Daphnia pulex: one gene and its partner. The protein of the gene in region 1 binds, or shares a complex with, the protein of each later gene. Links are inferred from orthologs where the notes say so. Each region holds a gene or a part of one and is shown in the gene's direction. Other genes may lie near its edges.

The links.
Region 2: syntaxin-18-like (region 1) and vesicle transport through interaction with t-SNAREs homolog 1B-like share a complex: the UniProt entries of both Homo sapiens proteins name them as parts of the SNARE complex. The link is inferred for Daphnia pulex from reciprocal best matches to the Homo sapiens genes STX18 and VTI1B.

Annotation. Positions count from the first base shown.
Region 1 is NC_060027.1:1,471,496-1,476,052, reverse strand, and holds the start of syntaxin-18-like, read left to right. Parts: upstream 1-1,496; 5' UTR 1,497-1,529; intron 1,530-2,239; exon of another isoform or gene 2,240-2,366; intron 2,367-2,441; exon of another isoform or gene 2,442-2,496; coding exon of another isoform or gene 2,497-2,527; intron 2,528-2,588; coding exon of another isoform or gene 2,589-2,800; intron 2,801-2,913; coding exon of another isoform or gene 2,914-3,078; intron 3,079-3,238; coding exon of another isoform or gene 3,239-3,613; intron 3,614-3,725; coding exon of another isoform or gene 3,726-3,844; intron 3,845-3,939; coding exon of another isoform or gene 3,940-4,105; intron 4,106-4,196; coding exon of another isoform or gene 4,197-4,310; intron 4,311-4,390; coding exon of another isoform or gene 4,391-4,557. Other genes in the region: F-box-like/WD repeat-containing protein TBL1X, read left to right, coding at 2,497-2,527, 2,589-2,800, 2,914-3,078, 3,239-3,613, 3,726-3,844, 3,940-4,105, 4,197-4,310, 4,391-4,557. UniProt on the Homo sapiens protein: Syntaxin that may be involved in targeting and fusion of Golgi-derived retrograde transport vesicles with the ER.
Region 2 is NC_060018.1:4,118,044-4,121,051, forward strand, and holds vesicle transport through interaction with t-SNAREs homolog 1B-like, read left to right. Parts: upstream 1-1,251; 5' UTR 1,252-1,365; coding exon 1,366-1,589; intron 1,590-1,676; coding exon 1,677-2,139; 3' UTR 2,140-2,249; downstream 2,250-3,008. Other genes in the region: uncharacterized protein LOC124189006, read left to right, coding at 140-299, 588-1,088; homer protein homolog 2-like, read left to right, coding at 2,461-2,465. UniProt on the Homo sapiens protein: V-SNARE that mediates vesicle transport pathways through interactions with t-SNAREs on the target membrane. These interactions are proposed to mediate aspects of the specificity of vesicle trafficking and to promote fusion of the lipid bilayers.

The DNA of each region.
Region 1 (4,557 bases):
GAAATAGAACTAAACGATACGTCAACTAGCAAACTATTCAAGAAACGTTTGGTGAGTGCCCGACTCTCACTCGTAAGACCCATACAGTTTGTCAGAAGGAGATTTTGGATATAATGTATCGAGTATTGTCTGGAACGAAGAATTAAAACTGTTGGTCACCAGTTCAGACGATATTTGGATCAAGGTGTGTCCCAGAATTTAAATGGTTATTTAGAATTGAATGTTTAACTCCTTCACTTTCAAATAATTGAACGCAGAATTGGTAATTGGAAAGAGAGGATCCCAATATCCCATACGCATGATAGAATCCAGTTCTTCTTGTTGCGAATAAATTTGGAGTCCAATTCCCATCCAGCGTAATCGTGCAAAGAGCGAAGGAAAAACCTTTTTTAGTCGGGTCAGATTTCATTCATCTAATATCCCAGTGTCCCAAATCGATTATTTAATTAAGCGTAAGAGCTCAATCGCCTTTTTCTGATCTTTTTTCAGAGGGTTAGATAACGGATCAATTTTTGTTTGGTCGCCAACGGAAAAGGAAATACAACCAAGTTTGTTTTTCGATTGACATTCCCACGATTTGCATAAAATCTTATTTTCGCCAAACAGACGCTTTCTGGCATCGACCGGCTATGAAGGAAAATTGGTTATCTGGTCCACCAAGGTAAATTTGAAGGTAAAACGAGTGAAAGACTGGATGTCTTAAATTTCTCGCAAGGTGTTTAGAACTGGGAACAGATCATGACACCTTTTACCACCATCAGGGTTTCACCACCGGTGCCCAAGCCCAAAACTCTCAAACTAAACCTGCTCAAATAAAACAAACAACAAAAGTAATATCCACCAACAACGTAAAAATAATAAAATAAACTTTCACGAGGAAGCAATGTAGACTCACCATGAAAAGAAACCTCATGGGATGCATATTCTGATGTCTGTCGAAAAAAGATATAAACTGACTGGCACTGCATGGTGCAAAACCCTCCTACAATCCTTTCGTGCCATAGTTGATATTGTCATTTAGTGAAACAGTTCACAAATAGTTACCTTTCATCAAGTACCCAACACGTTACAATTCTAGAATAAGTCAGGCGCCATATTTTTCGTACAAATACTGCAGACAAAGGGATGTTTACCTCATCAGCATGTGTGTCACTTCCAGCCTGGTGCAGATTCAATTCACCACCGAAAATGTTGGTCACAGATTTTGCAAAGGAATCACAATGAACAGTACAATCTTTAAAGTAATATCACGCTGCTCAACACAAATGAAGACGATGGATGCACACTTTCGAACATTGTTCACTGTTCAGTGAACTTGTGAAGTAATGGCAGTAATGGTGTGCTCTCGAAGACGAATAGCTCGTCGTTCATGGGAATGGCGCCAAAGAAAAAAATACATTGCAACGAACTTGGCAAACGACTGGTAGATGGCGGACTAAGTTCCACAACAAACTGACGACGAGGACGTTTGAAAAATAGAACGGCTGTTGAGTGTTGGCAGATTTTTGCTCAAAAATCATTGTCAAACGGTAAGTTAAACAAATAAATTATAAAGAATATACATTACTTATTCAAATCAAAATATTTGTTGTTGGAAACACCGATCATGATGGATATCACGTCCCTGTTCAAGGTCTCCATCAAGACGGTCCGGACACGCAATAAAGCTAGCTGAAAACTGAAGACCCAAATTGCATTTTCCCACGACCATCCAAACATTTTTCAAAATTCCAAACGAAAGCCAAAGAGATTGTCTCAAATGTGGCCAAGTTGAAAGAGTTTTAGACAGCTAGAATTGAAAAGCAATCACGCTCGTGATGTGAGTGAACGGATTAGATAAACAAAATACCGTGATATCGGCAAAAGAGATGCCTATCAATGGACTCTGAGAAAGTTGTTATAATGTATCATTGGTTGTTGAAAGATAATTGAAATCAATTAAGTTGTCGGGAAAATGAAAAGACACGAGTTTTTCAAGTTTACTTTCTTTTGGGGTTATTTCAGTGGGTAAAAAAAATATAGTGGGTGTGGAGAGGAAAGTCGTATGGTGTGAGGTAAGGGGAGTGAGAAAAGATTTTTGTCAAAGGATTAGTCAAAATGCAGTTGCGTATCGAAAATTACAGCTATTTTAGCAACCTCGAGACAAGTTTGAAAAACAAAAAAGATTCCAGACAGAAAAAGTCAAGGTAAATTTTCCTACGACCCCGTTCAAATCCACCCCCTTCTTACCCCCTTGAACGTTTCTCTTTTGTTTTTCAGTTTTACTTTTCCAGTTCCATCTTCTTTAATTGCCACTTCAGTTTCAACATTCTTCGAGGCATCGTGCTGCCAGTCTCTTTAAATATTACTCATCTATCTGCGCATCGGTGAAATTTTTAAGATTCTAAACTCTATGGATATTCCAGCTTTAACGCTGTAAAATAATGTTTCGTTCATTTTAGTTCGCTACTTCTAAACGTGGTTTTACACTTCCGTTCGTCACTAAGGAGAGAGAAAATGACAGATGCTGTAAACTCACCAGGGAAAGGTAAGACAAATATTTATAAACTTGTCCATCGTTTTTAATCAATGTCTGATGTCCCATCCAGGTTTTTTCAAACCAGTTGAGTTCTCAATTACGAGTAAACTAGATGTGAGAAGTTCCAGTTTCCACCCCATCGATCCTGTTCTGGCGTGCGGCTTAGTTCAAGGAGGATTAGTTTTCCTTCGGGGAACTAATCACTCCACACCGTTTGAGAATTGGGAGATTGAACCCGTATACAGCCGATACGAAAGGACAATTTTATCCGTCCAATGGAACGTAAGTCTGTGAATCAAATAATTGTGTCCGTGTTTCACCCCATCAAAATCGTGTGCTAAATGTTACAGTGTTAATCCTAAGTTTCTATTTTTGTTTTTCTGTTTGGCGTAAAGGTCAATGGAACTAAAGTAGCTGCTGGCTCCGATAATGGGACTGTCATTATTGTGTCTTATCCAGGCTGTGGCAAACAAACATTCCGAAGAAATGGACGATCGAATTTCCCGTTAATTTTTTGGCATCCATTTAACCGGGACATGTTGGCTAGTTATAACAGTGCGGTAAGTGAAAAAAAAAAAACAATATTCATGTGCTAACTTAGTAGTTTGTTTAAGTAATGCGGGAAGGGAGAATTTCAAATTAAAAGTCGGTGTACACGAGAAACATTCACATTAATTTATTGTTCACCAGAAATTTTAAGTTTTAAAATTGTATCTCAAGTTGGACACAAACGAGGTGATGATTGCCAATTCAGCAGCTGAAAACCTCCTCACCCACACCATCAAATCAAAATGGAACTGTCAGACCCTGGCCTGGAACTCGCACAATCAACTCGCCTTTGGTTACGACGATGGAACGTTTGAAATTCACGAAATAGAATTGAATAACAGTCAAATGAAAAGCCGAATGGTCCAGAAAATCCGTCACGATCTGGGTGATCATGACAAAGCTGTTCACCATTTTTCGCTTATGAATTCCAGGGACAATTTTTCGCTTATGAACTACCAGGGCCAAACACGAACTTTCGTATCGAGTATCGCCATTAACAAAGAATTTGAACTTTTGGCTTCAGGTGGAACAGACTTTCGAGTCAAGGTATTAGAACTACATACGTTATATTTATTGGATTTTAATAGTCGATAGACAATTATTATTGTCTAAGTTTTTAAATTTAAATGAGTCAATATTTAAACAATTTTAATTGCAGATTTGGTCATTGGGCAGTAAAGATCCTATTCTTGTGTTGGATGTCGATTCCAATTGCAGAAATTTGGTATGGAATTCTGGCATCAAAGAAGAGATGACGACAAAAACTTTTATTGCATGGTTAGACTGCCTAGATTATTTTAATCAAGTTTTAAAAGATGCAAGTTTAAATTGACATTCTAATAACCACAGCTTTTTAATTGGCTTTTATTCAGCGGATTAGAAAGTGGAAACGTTGTAATTTGGTATCCATTTGATCATGAAATTCAGACACGAAAACTTACAGGACATGATCAGATCCATCAATTAATACTTTCACCTGACGGACGCTATCTCGCAACAACAGACTATTACAAGAAAGTGATTATTTGGTCTACAAAGGTAAAATATTTTTGATAGAAATTCTTAGTTGGATCAAACGCGACTCACGTACATTCTTTTCCCGCAATTTCTTTTTTAAATGAATTTTCAGAGTTGGAAGAGCATATACATTATACCCTCATCAGAGTATATGTATCCATACATGATGACATGGGACGCGGCCAGTTGCAAGCTAGCAATTTCAGAGAGAACAGGACAGAGACAGGTAAAATAATGCGTTTCATTCATCCAAATTTCAACAAATTAATGTTAATAAATAACTTCTCATCTCTGTGATTCAAACAGTTTAAAGTGATTGAATACTTCGTTGCCGAAAACTGCTGTGCTGGCTGCAAGAAAATGTCTCAAAATCTAAAGCGTTGCGCTCGCTGCAATTCAATCTTCTATTGTAGCAAGGATTGTCAGCGTTCACACTGGCCCCAACACAAACTTGTTTGCAATCAAAATGAATA
Region 2 (3,008 bases), on another chromosome or scaffold:
GATTAATTAATGATGAAAACCACATTTAGAGCATTGGGTTATGAATCTTTGTGATTAGCAAATTAATCTGAACGCAGTTTATCATTCAAGTGATACTGTCTGGTGCAAAGATGACTAATCGATACAATTTAAATTACAGGAAGATGATCCGTCGTGCATCTGTTAAGCGCAATCCTCTTACCAACATGAGAGCATTGATGAAGTTGAACCCGTACTCCGCCGTGATTAAGAAGTCTGCCGCTGCTGTTGCTGAGGCCCGGAAGAAGAGCAAGACTGCTTTGCTCGAGAAGAAGCGCGAGGTAATTTTGTTTTCTGTGAATGTTTGTATGTCTTAGATAGTTTTTCGTTTGATTTCTGTTTGAATTGTTAAAATTGTATTACCGCATGTGAACGTAACTTAATGCATGCCACATTGTTTAACATGTACAGGCGAGTGCTACCAAGAAGGTAGCTGCCTAGCCTGCGAGTGAGCGCACACAGCATGGTTTATTGAGCTAATCAACAGATGTTTTTGGTGAGTTGTCCATCGTAGTGAGAATCTGATTTGGAAAATAGTCCAAGTTCTAATTTGTATATCCATTCTACAGTCAGTAGTACCCGTACCAAATTTACCTGTTGAAAAGCCGAAAGAAGAAGCGCCCGTTCAAGCACCGGTCCAAGATGTCAAACCAACTCAACCTCCTCCTGTTGAAACCCCTAAGCCAACACCACCAGAAACAAAGAAAAGCAAGAAATCCAAGACGGCTGCAAAGGATTTGCAAGTAGAACCGATGGATGTAACACCCGCGTCCGTTGTTGAGGTGAAGACTGCCCTAGCTCCAGCTAAGGAACCATCTCCGCCAATCGTTACCATCCCTGAACCTGTAGTTAAGGTGGTAACACCAGTCGCTACTCCTGTAAAAGGAAAATCGCCACCAGTCGTTCCTGCCCCAACACCGATTGCTGTCCCGGAAGTGAAGCCGTTGGAAAAGGTTCTTGCTGCTCCCGTTGAAGCTATCCCATTAGAAGAAGCTTCTGTTCCCGAATCAGCTGCTGATAAGGGATCGAAAGCCAAGAAAGCAAAGGGGAAGAAAAATAAGAAGGAATGAGTGACATCATTGAACCTGTGCCTGTATGACGTTTTTTCTGTGACATCTGAATAAACCTTCTGCAGGCTGAAATGTGTTTAATTTATCTTAATAATTAGCTATTAAATGTAAATGTCATGGAAATGCTAATTCTCGCCGTTTGTGGCGCTGTCTTCAATGTTTTGTCAGATGGTGTTTTATACGTCAAGTCTACAATACATTCCTTGTCTTCGTCCTGATAGCAAGGTATCGTATGTAGTGCTCAAATAGGTTCAGAATTGTGCTACAAGAAACAGAAATGAGCTCAGAGAAATTTGAAACTCTGGATGAAGATGTACAAGTTTTGTTCGAAATTCTGCAAAGAAAGTGTTCCGGTAAGCTAGAACAATGTTTTGGCGAAGAAAAAAAGCAAGTTATTGCCGATGTCGAAAGAGGACTAGATGAAGCTAAACAAGCAATATTTGAAATGGAAGCTGAAGCTAGAGCAGCTCCTGGCTCTTTTAGGATGGACATGATTGGCAGGTAAAAATGTGAATGTCTTAAGTTTACACAGCAAACAATACATGTAGTAAAATTTCAACTAATGTTTTTTTTATCATCCAACTTCAGAGTACGAAGACATCAGGACACCTGTTCCAAACTTGCTCTATTGATCAATTCTTCCAAGCAATCAGAAATGTCTCTGGCCTCATCAAGAGGAAAACTGTTGGAAAACCAATCCACTGCTGCATTTAGCCAAAACCGGGGCATTGATAATGCTCTTCAAACAACTGTTCGCCAAGGAACTGCAGTTCTGGAAAGAACATCACAGAGCCTCTACAGAACTACTCAGGTTGCTTTAGAAAGTGAAGAGATTGGCACTGGAGTTATTCAAGAATTAAGTCAACAAAGAGAAGTGCTTGTTCGTACAAGAGATAGATTGACTGAAACGGATGCAGAGCTGGGAAGAAGTAGAAGAATCCTTAAGTCAATGTCTCGTGTTGCTATGACTAATAAGCTTGTCCTAATTGTCATCATTCTGTTGGAGATATGCATTTTGACAGGTTTAGTTTATTATAAATTTTTTTCTTGAAATTATTGTCCTCAAATTCTTAACATACCTCATCAAAAATGTAACTAATAGTGTTAGTGCCTTGAATTTGTGTAAAAGCCGATACAAAAATATAATCATGCGCATAGCGACCAGTATTTTTTTCCCCTTGCGTGCGCAAAGGATTTCCTAGCGGCCTTCGTACGCAGACGGAGTTACGAACCCAACCTCTGGCTTTCAGTTCCATTTGACAGAAGCTCTTCCTGTGTCATGGCGTGCTATACGTGTATTTAAAGTTTTTGCGTTTGCCAACGAAATCTGAGATTTTTCTAAGTTGTTCGTGCTTCGACATCGACAGTTAAAATGGGGTAAGTTGTGCATTTATTGATTCTGTATAGTCTTAAATGAAAAATCGATTCGTACCATATATCCACGTAGCAACAGCTGGATGCTGAGCACCACTGTCAAGTCTGAATTCAAATTTACTGTAATTAAAAGGGTATATGTTTCAAATATTTGTATTTTGGACTATGGAATTAGACAAATAAGAATTTTCCATTAGGGTGTATAAATACCATTAAGCTAAAGTGTAAATCAATATTGAAGTCACAGACTCACTGAAGTGTCCCGTCATTCAAATGTTAAAAAAGATTTTATTAATATCTTGGCTGTAAATATAGCATTCATATTTTCAAACTAATAAGCTAAGCTGCATCCAAGTTTTCAACCTGTACTAAATTCTAAAGTTGTATTGAGCTAAACTTCGAAGCTGAATGACTTGTGCCTCTAGCTACAGCCCAGAAGGATTGTTGCGAAATGTTATTCTCAACTCAAGCAATAGATTGTTGCTTTAGGTGATACATCAAAGTAATATTTCATCCAGCCAGAAAACTCTTGATATTGCTAGGATG